2 linked regions of the Rhinolophus ferrumequinum genome follow. The protein of the gene in region 1 binds, or shares a complex with, the protein of each later gene. Links are inferred from orthologs where the notes say so. Each region holds a gene or a part of one and is shown in the gene's direction. Other genes may lie near its edges.

Region 1 (7,097 bases):
GCCCGCTCCTATTCCTGCTCTGCCCCGGAAGCCCCACCCCCGCTGGGTGCCCCAACAGCCGCCCGCAGCTGTCACCGGCTGGAGGGCTGGCCGCCCTGGGCGGGACCCTGCTTCCCGGAGCTGAGGCGCCGGGTCCCCCGGGGAGGCAGCAGGCCAGCTGCAGCCCCTCCCACCCGAGCCCCCACCCGCCGCTTCAGCGATAGCTCAGGTTCCCTCACCCCACCGGGGCACCGGCCTCCTCATCCGGCTCCCCCTTCCCCGCTGCTGCTGCCACGGTCCCACAGTGACCCCGGCATCACCACCTCCAGCGACACCGGTGAGCAGCCCCCCCACCCCGCCCCACCGAGGTTCAGGAGGGTAGGTACTGGGAGGTGGAGGGCCAGTGCTGCCAGAGATCTGGGACACTGTCGAGGTCCCCGAGGAGAAAGGGTGAGTCGCCCCTGCGGCAGACACTTCTCGAGTGTTCACCTCCTAGAAAAAACAACATCAGTATAGCTTTGTGGCTAAAGGGAGCAGGATTTGTTCTTTGAAACCCAATTCTATAGCTCCCACCTGGGCCATTTACGAAGCCTCAATTTCTCACCTGTAAAACAGGTGTCACAATGGTACCCCAACCATAGGTACGGTAGAGTTACTGAGAAATGAGATAACGCGAGGAAAATGCTTAGCCTTGGCCCAGGACGTGCTCACTACCCCCATGTGTGCCCGCCCGCCCCGGGGAGGTAGCCACTGTGAAGGATGCCGCCCCTGTCCCTTTGTCGGTGAACTAACTGTCCCATCTCAGAGCAGAGGGGATGGGGCGTGGGACCTGTGAAAGCGCCTGTGGGCTTGAATCCTCACAGGAGGGTGGTGGGCTGCGTGGGCGTGTCCCCTGAGCATGTCCACTAGGTCCATTTCTCTCCCCAGCTGACTTCAGGGACCTTTATACCAAAGTGCTTGAGGAAGAAGTTGCTTCTGTTTCCTCTGCAGATACAGGTCAGCCATGTGGTCCGTGCCCAGGGGTCGGGGCAAGGCGTGCTGCCTGGCACTCTCCGCACGTGTATCCCTGTCCCTTTCCACCCACAACCTCTCTCTCTCTCTCTGCAGGGCTCTGCTCTGACGCCTGCCTCTTCCGGCTAGCCCGATGCCCATCCCCCAAGCTGCTGCGTGCCCACTCAGCCGAGAAACGGCGCCCTGTGCCCACCTTCCAGAAGGTCCCCCTGCCCTCGGGCCCTGCACCCGCCCACTCCCTGGGGGACCTGAAGGGCAGCTGGCCAGGCCGGGGCCTGGTCACTCGTTTCCTCCAGATGTCCAGGAAGGCCCCAGAGCCCAGTGGGAATGGAGCCCACGGGCATAAGCAGGTAGGCATTAGGGGAGCCTGGGAGGATACCCAGGAAAGCCTGGAGCTGCCGGTTGGGTTGGGCCACACTGATGCCCACTCCTGTGTCCCTTCAGGTGCCCCGGAGCCCGTGGGGCCGGCCAGGCCGAGAGAGCCTCCACCTTCGAAGCTGTGGCGATCTGAGCTCCGGCTCCTCCTTGCGGCGCCTCCTGTCTGGCCGCCGGCTGGAGCGTGGTACCCGACCCCACAGCCTCAGCCTCAATGGGGGCAACCGGGAGACTGGGCTGTGACCTGGGCTTCTTGCCACACTGAACAGATGAATACTGGGGCCGTGGGCACCAGCTGGTTGGGACCAGCAGCCCCCAGCATTCCCTTGCACTGGCTGGCACAAAAAGAAATCCGCTCAACACCCCCCAAAAGAATCCCTTTCCCTCCTACCTCTGGGGGCTCCTGCTGCTTGCCTCTGTTCCTCTGGCCTGGGAGAGCTTCTGTCCTGTGGTGCATGGGTGTTCAGGCTGTGGGGGAGATGCCCCTGCTTACAGCACTGGAGGAGGAAAAGTCCTGACCCCCCAGCACGAGAGTAGCTCTCTTTGATTTGCCAGGGCAACTATGGCCGGACAAGGCATGTCCCGGGTGTCTAAGCATAGGGGGCTGTGTGTCTGCGCAATTGGGTGGTGAGGCATGAAGTCATAAAAATCTGGCTGGCCTCTCAGCTCTGCCACCTCTAGCTGCATGACCTTGGGCAAGTTATTTAACCTCCATTGCCTGACCTGTAAAATATGGTGAGGACAAATGTTTCTAAAGCTAAGAAGCCTTCACACACTAAGCCTTCAATAAATTTCAGTTTTCCCCTTCTCTTCTGGATCATGCTTTATCACCAATGAAATTTGTTCTAGCATCTCTCCTAGTTAAGAAAACTCTGCCAAAACTCGTACATTTCTTTCCAGCTGCCACACTGTATCTCTCCTCCTTTTCATAGAAAAAGGTTTTCTTCCTTCCCTGAACTTACCCCCACAGCTGCTGACTCTACCTCTCCTCAGGCGCTACTCTGACAATTTTCAGTAACCAAAAGATACCAGACCCAGTGAAATGACCGTTTCTCTACCTGCATCTCACTTGACCTCTAAGAAGCATTTACTCAGAAAATCTGCGTCTTTCCTCTTGACTTTTTCCCTTTCTAGTCTTTGAAGACATATTCTCTTTTTCCTCCTACTTTACCCTTTCGTTATCCTTTGCGATTTTTATACCTTACTGGACTGCTTAACTCTGGCAGGCCCCAGGGCTCTCCCCTCGGCCCTTTTCTACTTCCACTCTGTCTGTTGCTGTCTCTACCAAAACCCACGGGCTCCACGGCTTTAAATACCAGCTATGTGTTCACGAAGAACTCCCTCCTTGACCTCTCCATGCGCTCCAACCTCCAACTCGAATCTCTCCTGGGATGTCTAAGGGCATCTCAGCCTCAACGTGGTCACAACTGAACTCTTGATTCCCACCTCCAGAACCTGTTCCTCTTGCAACGGTTCCTTCTCAACAAGTGGCGCCGCCACTCACACAGCTGCACATTCCAGAAGCTTGGGACTCATCCTGATTTCTTTGCCCTCAAGCAACACATCCGATCCTATCCTGAATTCATCCATGTCTCACCAGCTACCCAGCTCAAGCTACCAGCCTCTAAATGGATCTATTTCCATTCTAACAATCCATTCTCCACTCGGCAAAATGATAAGAAATCATGTCACATCAAGGTTCCGCCCAAATCTGATGGCTTCCCATTGTATTTAGAATAATCTCCAAACTCCTCCTGAGACGATGGTCAGCGCCTTTTCGCCAGCTCTTTCCCAAGCACTCAACGCGCTCTCCTGTGGCCACTGCCTTTACCTAATTCGGGTCTTAGTTCCATTCTCACCTTCTCACTGAGCATCCCCACACCCCCACCCCAGTCATTCTCTCACACTGCCACAGTGTTTGGGGGCACTTAGCACTATCTAAAATTACCTTGCTTTCGTCTGTGTGATCCCATGGAACGTAAGCTCCTGAGAGCAAGGACTGGCTCACTGCCCTGGGTCTAACACTTAGTAGGTCCTCAACAAGCTCAAGTTACTTAAGTAACAGAGTGGGGCCTGGAAAGCTTCCCGACCCTATGATATTGGCGACAGCCGCGTGCCCCGCAGGGAAGGAAGGGAGGAAGGAGGGGCGCTGTCCACAGATGGCGGCAGGCTGCGAGGCTTCTTGAATAATTCACCATCATAACAACCCCGCCCCAGGGAGGGTTGGGGTGCGGCCTGGATGACAAAATGAGGTAGGAGCGACTAGAAATTGGTGCTCCCAAAGGGACAGCTTCTGGGCACTGAATGTTCTCTATCCTGAGGTTCTCGAAGGAGGAAGCTCAAGAATCCCGCTCAACTTCCGGGGGCTGGACTCACTGAGGGAATTCAGTCTCCCCCCGCCCAGGACAGCGTGCTGGCGGGTGTGCGCCAAGGCGCACGCGCGCTTCCCGCCGCCCAGCAGACCCCCGAATACGCTTGCGCCGCATCTGGGCTACGGCTGGTCAACGAGAACCGTTCGGCCCCAGGAAGACCAGTAGGGAGCGCGGAAGGGGCCCGGTCCCGCCCCGCCCCGCCCCCTGCGCGTCTCGCGGACGCGCGTCTTGGGGGCGCAGCCTCTCGGGCGCGGGCTCGGCGGAGCCCCCTTCTCCAGCCCCTCCCCCCCGGCTTTGCGGGGCTGCAGTGGGATTTCCCTTCGCCTCCGGATGGGGTTGCTGTTTCGCTTCGCCCACGGTAGGCGCGCTGGATGTAGCACCGTTTGCGTCTTAACTCTCCCCTCCCTGCGTTTGCACTTCTCCTTTTCGTCATCATTGCTATTATTTGTAGGGATGGTCGTAATTTAGTAATGAAGAAGAAGGGACCGAATCTTCGAATCCTCCTCTTGTTTTTTGAGGGGTGGAGTGGGAATAAGGTCTGTGTAATTGATGTATTCTTCAGTCATTCGACACACGTTCAGTGGGGCCCTGGACCAGCGCCCCGCGCGCCCCGGGGATACGCCTGGGAGCCAGGACAGACTGGTCCGTACCCTCCTGGGCTTACGCACCGACCCAACAGCAGGCAAACGAGTTAGCAGGCCACTGGGCGCCGTAACTGACATTAAGCCACTTGTACAATTAATTCATTGTGATAAGAGCTACAAAGGAGACGTAAGGGCTATGAGCTTGTGTTACAGGAGAGGTGTGTGTGGAGGGAGAGAATCTTTTGGAGAAAATGACGTCTGAAGTGAGTTCTGAAAGATGAATAGGCATTAACTAGGCTGAATGGAGGTGAACAGGAATGCATACGGAAGGAAGACCCTTTGCGAGGACTCAGGGTCGAAGGATGGAGAACAAGGGGTCAAGTCCTGTGGCCAAGGGGACAAGTCCTGTGGCAGGTTCCAACTGGCAGCTGGTCTCCCTGTCTTGGCACTTGCCCCTTACAGTCTGATTTCTACACAGCAGCCAAAATGACCTTTTAAAAATATAAATCTGATCTTTTCACTTCCCTGCACCAAACTCTCCAGTGGATTTCCATCTTAGAACAAAATTCAGATTCCTTGGCCACCAGGGCCCTGCAGAAGCTGGCCCCTGGCCTCCTTCTCTAAAGTCATGTCTTACAATTATCCCCCTCACTGGTTCTATCCAGCACGCCTTACCCCTTTATTTTGCTTCCTAGTTCTCATGGCCACATGAGTTTGCCTGGTTTTGTGTCTACCAGCTTCTAGGACATAAGCTCCAAACAGCTAGGAGCTTCATCATCGTATTTGTTGCGGTAGCCCCAGGATCTAGAACAGTGCCCGGCACGTAGTAGACGCCCGTTATTTGTTGACTGTATGAGTTGGGGAGCTCATTGAAGGGGTGCCTAATCCAGCCAGCGGTGTCAGGAAAATGGTACTAATGGCAATAATGGTAAGGCTGAGGCATTCGTGATGGAAAAGAGGAGTTACTCATTTTTTTCAAGAGAGAAAAAGAAAGGACGGGTGGCGTAGAGGAGAGCAGAGGCAAGGTGGAACGCAGCCTATGAAAGGAAATGGGACGCAGCCCAGTGGACCATATGTGCAAATGGAGGGGTGAGACGTGAAGGTGGGACAAAGATCCCCGAAGCCCTCTTCAGGGCAGAGTGGAACCCACTGAAGGAGTGGAGGATGGAGAGTGTAGCTTCGGAATTTATATTTTAATTAGACCATCTAGTTCTTCTTGGAGGATGGATTGGAGGAGAAAAGGGGAGGTTAGGAGGCCAAGAGAGAGGCTTCTGTAGTTCAGGAGAGAAATGATGGGGCGAGGGGGACAGGGGTTACAGTCAGGAAGGAGCCCCAGGTTCCGGGAGGAAGGGCTTCCATTCCTGGGGAAAGAACACAGGAGGAAGAGCGGGCTTGGCTGGGTGAGGGGACGATCTCATGATGGGCCTGCTGAGGTGTATGGGAGACACACAGAGGAAAGGTCTGGAAGGCAGAGTTCTCACGGCCCCATGAGATTGCATTCCACCGCAGGAGAAAGATTGGGGTTGGAGGTGGAGATTTGGGAACCAAAAGCGACTAGTAGGTAATCAAAGCCATGGGGTTGTCTCTTCGGAGTGGGCGTGATTTACGAGAAGAGAAGGCCGAGGATAAAACCTCAAAGAACACCTGCAGGCAGAAAGAGGCGGGGAAGCCTGCAAAGGAGAAGGAGCAGCCAGAAGTGGGGGCGACATCCAACCAGGAGAGGGCAGAGTCATGGGAACAAAGGAGAGCACTTCAAGAAGGGAGGGGTCCTGTGTCAAGTGAGGTAAAAAGTCAGGTGAGAGCGGTTTTGGAGCCGGGAGGGCGGAGTTGGCCTTTGGAGAAGAGGAAGTCTGAGAGAGGACTCGTCGAGTGTAGCAATTCGGTCCAGAAGTTTGGCATGAACAATAACATTACATGCAGTGTTGCATTAAATCCTCCTAACAACCCTTGAGGCAAGAGTTTTGGAGATGAGGAAACACGCTCAAGAAGTCAAGTAACTTCCCAGTATCTCAGAGGTAGGGAGTCATGGAGCGAGGATTTAAATTGTGAAATCCCTCCGGTGTCCATGCTAAAACACCCTTCCCCGTGTCTTCTCCTTTAGGGGACAGGAGAGAAAGGGTGGCGGCCAGAGGAAACAAGAAATGAGGTAGAGGTCTTGGACACACGTCTCCTTTGACTACCGGAGGGAAGAAATAAAGGCTGAATAACTATAACGGTTATACTTCCTGTCTGTCCCCTCAGGCTCAGAACAGTGGGAATGTGCCAGCAGGTCCTGGGTGTTCAGTATTTGAAGCCGTCCTTCCGGTAGCCTGAACCAAGCCCCCTCCACTGGGTCTCTCTCTGACCCTAATAATCATGTTCAGAGTTAGGTTCGTTCTTTCTGAAGTTCATTCTCCTTCAAACCACACCAAGGACGCCCCTGAAACACCCGACAGGCAGGGCCTTGCATAGCGGACTGTGATTGATAACAACCTACTTATTCAGCAAACACTGAGCCCCGAGTCTGTGCTCTCCTCTGAGTGGAATGTTTTGAGGTTCCAAAGAAATAGGACCCATGAAATTTACTCTGCACGTGTTTATCACATTAAGGAAGGCTAAAAATATGCTACTGAAATATCGGGGAGCATATTTCTTGGACTCTTTCAGGGAGCATATTTCAGGGAGCATTCTTGGACATAACGACTAAGAGTGGCTTGGGCTTCAGCGTAGGACGGATCTGAATTTAGGCTTCGCTCTGCCACTTACCTACCTTCTGTTGGTCTCAGTCTTCTCATCT
Region 2 (7,117 bases), on another chromosome or scaffold:
CAACTTGAAGGGAAATCACAGTCACTGATTATTGAGCATTTTGAGTGTGGCCTGAGATTAGCACTCTGCTGAGACCTCCTTTAATCCTGACAATAATCCTAGCCATGCCCTCCTTCCCACTTGTGTTGATGTAACCTTTTAAAGCACTTCTTGCCTGTGTCAATTCAAAATAGGTGGCATGGCACAATAGGAGTCTCCAATAAAAACCAAATCTGACTTAGGTAAGGAGAGACTACATGAAAGGATTATTGCAAATTGGAAAGGACTATTGCAATAGGTGGAGTGGGACTTGCAAAAAGAACTGGCTATGGTATGTGGGAACCTCAAGGGTTAGCCAGAAGGGTTTTTGTTTTGCAGGAAGGAGTAAAGAGGTCTCGGAAGGAGAAAAACTTAACCAATATTTGGCAAACAAGCATTTCCCCCTCCCAGCTTTATTTAAGCACGATTGACAAATAAAAAATTATATTATTTAAGGTGTACAACATGATGTTTGACATGCATATGCATTGTGAAATGATTACCACAGTCAAGTTAATTAACACATCCATCACTTCGCAGAATTGCCTTTTTGTGTCTGCATGTGGTGACATTCTCTTAACAACTTTCAAAATATACAGCACAGTACTAACTATGGTCACCACACTGTACGTTAATAAACATTTTGTTCCCGTTGATTGGTGGGAACAAGCAGTTCAGGTGATCAATTATGAGGCAAAGAATGGGAGCCTGGAGGTGCCTGGCCGTGTCTTAGGTAACACAGGGGGACTTCTGTGAATCTTATCTGAGGCATATGGGGAAGGGTGTTTCTTTGCAGTAAGCCATTTCCTGGAAGACAAAAGGAGGGGCTTCTGACCCATTGCTCTTTTCCAGGAACTTTGGGTTCTGATGAAATTCACCTTTGCTAGGAGCACAGGTTTGTAATGATTCCCTGGGGTGGGAGGCTGGCTCCACATTCTACTGGCAAACCTCAGACATACTCCTAACCTTTTTTGAGCTTTGGTCTCCTGAAATGTAAAATTGGAAAGATGATTTTCACCTTGTAGGCTATTAAGCAAAGTAGATGAGATAAAGCGACAACATACTGCCTGGCTCTTGATAATATTCTGAAGCTCAGAAACCCCATTGTATATCAGATAAAATCTAGACTCCTGTGACCCCCCAACCTGCCTCTCGAAATAAATCTCCCTACTCCCTATAAAACTCACACTCAGTCACACCTAATACTGTCCCATTTCTGTATCTTTTATTGTCTCATTCTCCACAGCCACTATCTTTCTAATTAAGCAGAGGGCTCCAGGAAAGATGGACATGGAGCAAGCAGGAAGGAAGGGCTTATTCTGTCCAGCCAGACAGGACAGTTCATTCGACCCTGGCTGTCCATCAGGCACCCACCCCATGACCTCCCTCTACTTGCCAGATTTTTATTCATTCTTCCTGCCTCACTTTAAGCATCACCTTTCTCTATCTCCGTTCATAAAATCCATTGTCTGAACTCTATAGAGATCATTGTTTGGTATACACACATTCTCCTTGGCCATTTTATCACATGCTGTTTTGTTGTTGATGATCTTACATGTGTGTATTAATATTCTCCTAGAGGGTAAGCTCCTAGTGTTAAGAGAGTCTCGGTTTTCCTTGCAGATGCAGAGATAAATCAAAGGTCAGCAAGCTGATTAATATGCAAGCAGGGTTTATTAGTGATATGTTCTCAGGGAAGAGAATAGTAGGAGAGGGGGGGAGATTGAGAGGGAGAGGGAGAGGGAGAGGGAGAAGGAAAGGGAGAGGGAGGGAGAGAGAGAGATAGATAGAGAGAGCCCTTGTCCCAAGGACTTACAGTTTGCTGGGTGGGGTGAGGGAGTTACAACTGATTGGCGGGGAAAGTGGTGCAAGCCCTTCCACCGGAGGGTGTGACCTCCTAAGATGGGTGGAGGTCTATTGACTCCGATCCTTATCTTGCTCCAGATGACCTCCTGCCATCTGTTGTAAAAACAGATACATGTCTGGAGTCAGTTAATCAAAGATAGTTACGAGCTTTTTCTGTAGGCACTATGGACCCCCTGCCACCCCTCCTCGTCCTCCTACATTTTCTAACTTCTACCTAACACTAGAACACAGAAACCATATCTGTGTTGCTGGGTATCTCCTACAAAGCTAGCACATGCATAGTGTTTCATGATTTACATGCATAGTTCTATATTTTGCGAGAAAACCATGCATATAGCACTGCTTTAAATACAGAGGGTGCCCAAAAACTGTATACACATTTTAAGAAAGGAAAAAACTGTATTAATATATACCGATAACAAAAGATGAATACGAGTCACATTTGACTTCTGCAATTCCTGGAGGTGCTCAAAGTGGTTCCCATCAGCATGTAGACACTTCTGATGATGGCAAACTACTGCTTGAGCAACACTGATCAAAGTGTTAACATTTCTTAAAATGTGTATACATTTTTTTGGCACCCCCGGTATTTGTTAGTAAAAGGGGTCATGGAAGGACACAGATTTTTCTTTCCACCCACAAAAGGTACTGGCCACACTTCATGATTGAGGGTGCTGGATTACTAAGATGTACAAACTGACAGGTGTTAGATCTACGTGTGTCTGTGATTCAAATGAGCTATTACTCTCTCCATATCTGAACGTAAGTAAAATGGTCATTGAACAGCCACTTCCTCTGGTCCACTTTAAAAGCCACTTGGATTTGTTGCTGTCAAGCTGCTGTTACAAAACCTGGCCCTGTGGCTTTGGGTTTGGCCGTTCGTGGCTTTCTTCTTCTTCTCTCAAAGCCTCATATTGAATTATCTCCTAACATCTTCTAAGCAAAGTCAATGGAAGCTAGTGAGCAAGTTTTCTAGTACTATATTCTGTTGATTGAGTAGATATACTCCAGGAACTGCATTGACCTAGACGCTGTGGGGAGGACTAAAGAAAAAACAAAACCTCTGTTCCATTTTTGAGAAGGAAGCAGTTATCCTGATGTTACCATATTGAGTAGCTGCACTGTCCTTTTTATTTTCAGTTGCTAATGTCACCTGCTTCATGTTGATGACTGTTAAATTTGTAGAAAATGTTTTCTGTCCTGACCACTTTTTTCCCCTAAGAAATTCCTATATAATGTGTTGCAGGGTAGAAAGGAAGGGATGACCCATTCATTTGAAGGGGGCTACTCAAGGAATTCATGGAGGAGGGAACATTATTGCCCTGCCCTTTTCTGAATACTTATGGACAAGAAAAAGAGGTCCTTATTTTAATGAAATCAGACATCTTTTACAACATCAATGGGCCTTGAGAATCCTCCAGAAGACAAATTGTTATTTATATGTTGTCTTTCTCATAGTTAACATAGTTTGGGGCAGATGAGATTCATGTTAATGAGTTATTTCTGGTGCTGTAAGCATACTTTATGGTGGAGGAACTCTACCGTATAATTTGTATAACTAAAATGGGTGGTATATTTATATCCATTTTATTAACCTGTTGTGAGGTAGGGCGGAAGAATGGAGAAAAGCTGCACTGGGTTCCTGACCCAGCTGTGACATTAAGTAGCTGTGTGACCTTTTGCACAGTACCTCATCCTTCCTGGGCCTCTGAGTTTTATCTGTTCTACCTGAGGGCCTTCACAGTGGTGTTTTCTCACTCGCTGGGCCTGACTCTCTCCCTTGCTTTTCAGATAGCTAAGACTCCAGTTTAGCAGATAAGATAAAAAAAAAAAAACCAGGAAATTCTTAAAGAAAACTGCCGAAAGTGACTGGTTAGGTTTAGGTTGTCCAGTGAGTGGGGCAGGGAGAGATCCAGTGCTGGGACAGGGAGGGGAGAGCTTCACCAAGGACACAGTCTGAGCTGGATCCGGAATTGGAGGAAAGGGCTTTCATGCTTTGTCTTTAATTTTTTCCTTCTCGTCAATCCGATCTTACCTCAGTAAATCAGTTCTGATAGTAAAGTCCAAGAATGTTTCAGTAACGTGTGGTTTGGATAGAAATCTGATGAATAGACATTCTGAACTGATGCCAAACCACAAGCAATGCCCAGTTCTCAGATATGGCCAAGTAGTGGACATGAATTTCCTCCCAGCCCTCCGGATGATAAGCTTTGCTTTCACAAGCTTTGGTTTGCTGCATGCATTTATTCCTCAGCCACTTTGTTTTTCCCTGCAAAGATTCTTGAGATATTTTCCATTTAATAATAGACCAATAGCACTAAGCTCCCTTGCAACGTTACTTCTGTTAAATTGGAGGTCTGGACTACTAAAACTTGACATCCTGTTTGTGTGCTGTGTCCAGGTACGTTTTATTTATTTTTTATTTTATTTTTATGGAACACTTCATGGATTTGTGTGTCATCCTTGCACAGGAGCCATGCTAATCTCTGTATCATTCCAATTTTAGCATATTGCTGCTGAAGTGAGCACTCAAGGTACATTTTAGCATGTGGTATTTAACATGCTTTGAAGCCAGTCCCTTTGTTTGTTGTCACTCAGATCCTCACTGCCAGAGGAAGGACAGCTGACGTCAGGGGATGCTTCTCTTGGAATCTAGTTGTTGTTTCACTAGTGGCTTATATTGTATCAGTAGATTCCATTTTCCTCTTTTGATTTTCTTTTTAAAAATGTACTCAGTGTTAATTTTTGTATTCATTATAAAAATTTGGAAAATGCAAAATCCCATTAAGGAGAAAACAACAAATTTCAAACGTGCACAGTTAATCACTATTCACATTTTTTTTTATTTGCAGTCTATGCTTTCTTTTATTTTTCTTGTGTACTTCAATAATTTTTACTGTAAGAATGTAATTTTTCTCTATTAACAAGTTGAGGACCGTTAGGACTATTAGATATTACTAGGTTTCTGTCAATTAACCTTGGGCGTGATATTATTCAGGCTGCCGTAGCAATGCAGGATAATGCGGGATAACAAACTTCCAGATCTCAGCGGCTTGTAACAGTAACATTTATTTCATAGTCTGGTGTGCAGGCTGGCTGTCATTTTAACTTGGCTGGTTCAGCTGAACGAGGCTGAAGTTCAGGCTTCATGTCCGGTCCACACATCACCATTTTAGGGCGTTGGCTGAAGGATCAACAGCTACCTGGGGCAGGTTTTTCTCTTGGCTGAGAGTGGCTGGTAGAAACTTGCTGTGCCTCTTAAGACCTTAGCTTAAAATTGGGGCATTTGCATTCCACCCACGTTCTGTTGACCAAATCAAATCACTTGGCCAAGCCTGAAGTCAGTAGAGTGGGGCTCTTCTTGTGGGGGGGCCATGGTGTGTTAGTTTGGGTTTGCGGGGGCTGCCATAACAAATACCACTGACTGGGCGACTTGAACAATAGAAACTTATTGTGTCATAGTTCTGGGTACTAGAAGTCTGAGGTCAAGGTGTCAGCAAGGTTGATGTCTTCTGAGGCCTCTCTCTTTGGCTTGCAAATGGCTGTCTTCTCCCCGTGTCTTCACATGTTCTTTCCTGTGTGTGTCCTAATATACACTTTTCATAAGGACATTAGTCATATTGGATTACAGTCCACCCTAATGATCTCATTTAACCTTGCATATCTCTTTGAAGACTATTTCCAAATACAGTCACATGCTGAGATAATAGGGGTTAGGACTTTAAGATACAAATTTTGGGGGGACACAGTTCAGCTTATAACACGTGTTAAGGGTGGAAAACGAAGGAAGGATTGTAGACAAAGAACACCCTCAAGCACTTAACCTCAAGTGGGGCTCAGCTTCCTCATCGTTAAAACAGGGGTAAGCGTCCTCTTAATAGGTTTGTTGGGGATTGAGTGAGAAAACGCTTGTAGAGCCTGGTGGTGGAGGTATAGGCATGGGTGTGGTTATATCTCAAGTGAAAGGCACAAAGCTAGCCTTCGTGGGCCTATCTCCCTGTTCTCTCATGTGGGCCAGCTGGGAATGCACCATGCCTCCCGGAATAGCCTAACTTCTACAGCAGCTCTACTATCGGTGGAATCTTTGTAACAAAGCCAACAGGACCTTTTGGATACTTTCTTTAACAAAGTTTAAGCTAGTGTTAATTAAAAAGAGAAAGTATTTGTCCACTTCGGCTTTGTTTTATGCCCATTTCATATTGTTGTCTGTGTTGTAATTTTGATACAATTTCTGATGTGTAAAATAGGTTGTCTTATAAATATCTTAATGAAGAGTTAATTGTAAATACACTGTTGTAGCTGTTAAAAAAAGGTCTATGCTCTTAGTCACACCATGTTTCTACCCAGGCACTATAGCTCCAGCATCCTTTCTTTCCCAGAATATTTTTGAAGACCTTTTATGGTTAAGTAGGGCCATGGGCTTCATGTTGGCATAAGGCACGGCCCTGCTCTTAAGGGACTTCAGTTGAATGCCTGTGAAAAAAATAACTGAGCCACGAGGAGGTCAGAGAAGGGAGTGTCCCTGTCTCTGCCTCTGTGTTCAAAGCCAGCTGCCTGACACTTTGTAAATCTCCTTTTGGTTTTCTTCCCTAGAATATTGTGCTAAGGAATGGTTCCGAGACCTTTGACTCCTGGAAGCAGCCGCCTCTGCCAGTGTACACCCAGTTTTATTTTTTCAATGTCACCAATCCAGAGGAGATCCTCAGAGGGGAGATCCCTCGGTTAGAAGAAGTGGGGCCATACACCTACAGGTGAGTCCTGACTGCCTCCCTGCATACTGGAAATATGGAGCGACCACACGGTGGCCTGACTCCCTTATCTTTTCCCAAGGGCATCCTCTGGGTGTTGCGTAGGGAACACAGGTTTTGATTACATCTGCCGGACAGTGGCTTTGTAGCCTGGAGTTGAGTCTCAGCCTGTTAATGTTAGAAATGCAGCTGCTTCTTCCTGAGTTGGCAGAATGTGGTTACTGAGCCATGAAGAGCTACTCTTCACCCCCAACCCTTTTATTTTCTTTAGTGACTTCTAGTGCCTTCCCCTATTTCCCTCCCCCACTAGTTTTAGACCAGTTCCTAAAATTTGCTGTTGATCTGCAGACAGGCTTTTCAGCCTCTTATTCATTCCTTTCCCCCCCGCTTTTCTGGGCATAAGAGATAACCAGAAGCAGCATGCGTTAGTCTTAGGCAGTGACCACCAATTCCAAATGCTGGGGAGTTAGGAGAGTTGTTTTAGT

Evidence for each region. Proteins that work in one complex are often made in the same cells at the same time.
Region 2: the proteins of GBA1 (region 1) and SCARB2 are in contact, whole or in part, in a cryo-EM structure (PDB 9FJF), measured with the Homo sapiens proteins. The link is inferred for Rhinolophus ferrumequinum from reciprocal best matches to the Homo sapiens genes GBA1 and SCARB2. Residues at the interface, in NP_000148.2 of Homo sapiens: Leu130, Asn131, Ala134, Ile169, Glu190, Lys194, Leu195, Pro430, Arg434, Ile445, Thr446, Asp448; in NP_005497.1 of Homo sapiens: Lys161, Ala162, Tyr163, Gln164, Lys181, Glu183, Leu187, Phe191, Arg192.

Annotation. Positions count from the first base shown.
Region 1 is NC_046305.1:268,876-275,972, reverse strand, and holds the start of GBA1 (lysosomal acid glucosylceramidase), read left to right. Parts: upstream 1-3,997; 5' UTR 3,998-4,067; coding exon of another isoform or gene 4,068-4,095; intron 4,096-7,097. Other genes in the region: protein ENTREP3, read left to right, coding at 1-316, 907-975, 1,087-1,340, 1,435-1,608. UniProt on the Homo sapiens protein: Glucosylceramidase that catalyzes, within the lysosomal compartment, the hydrolysis of glucosylceramides/GlcCers (such as beta-D-glucosyl-(1<->1')-N-acylsphing-4-enine) into free ceramides (such as N-acylsphing-4-enine) and glucose.
Region 2 is NC_046288.1:32,521,136-32,528,252, reverse strand, and holds the start of SCARB2 (lysosome membrane protein 2), read left to right. Parts: upstream 1-4,045; 5' UTR 4,046-4,060; coding exon 4,061-4,285; intron 4,286-4,310; exon of another isoform or gene 4,311-4,412; intron 4,413-6,477; coding exon 6,478-6,635; intron 6,636-7,117.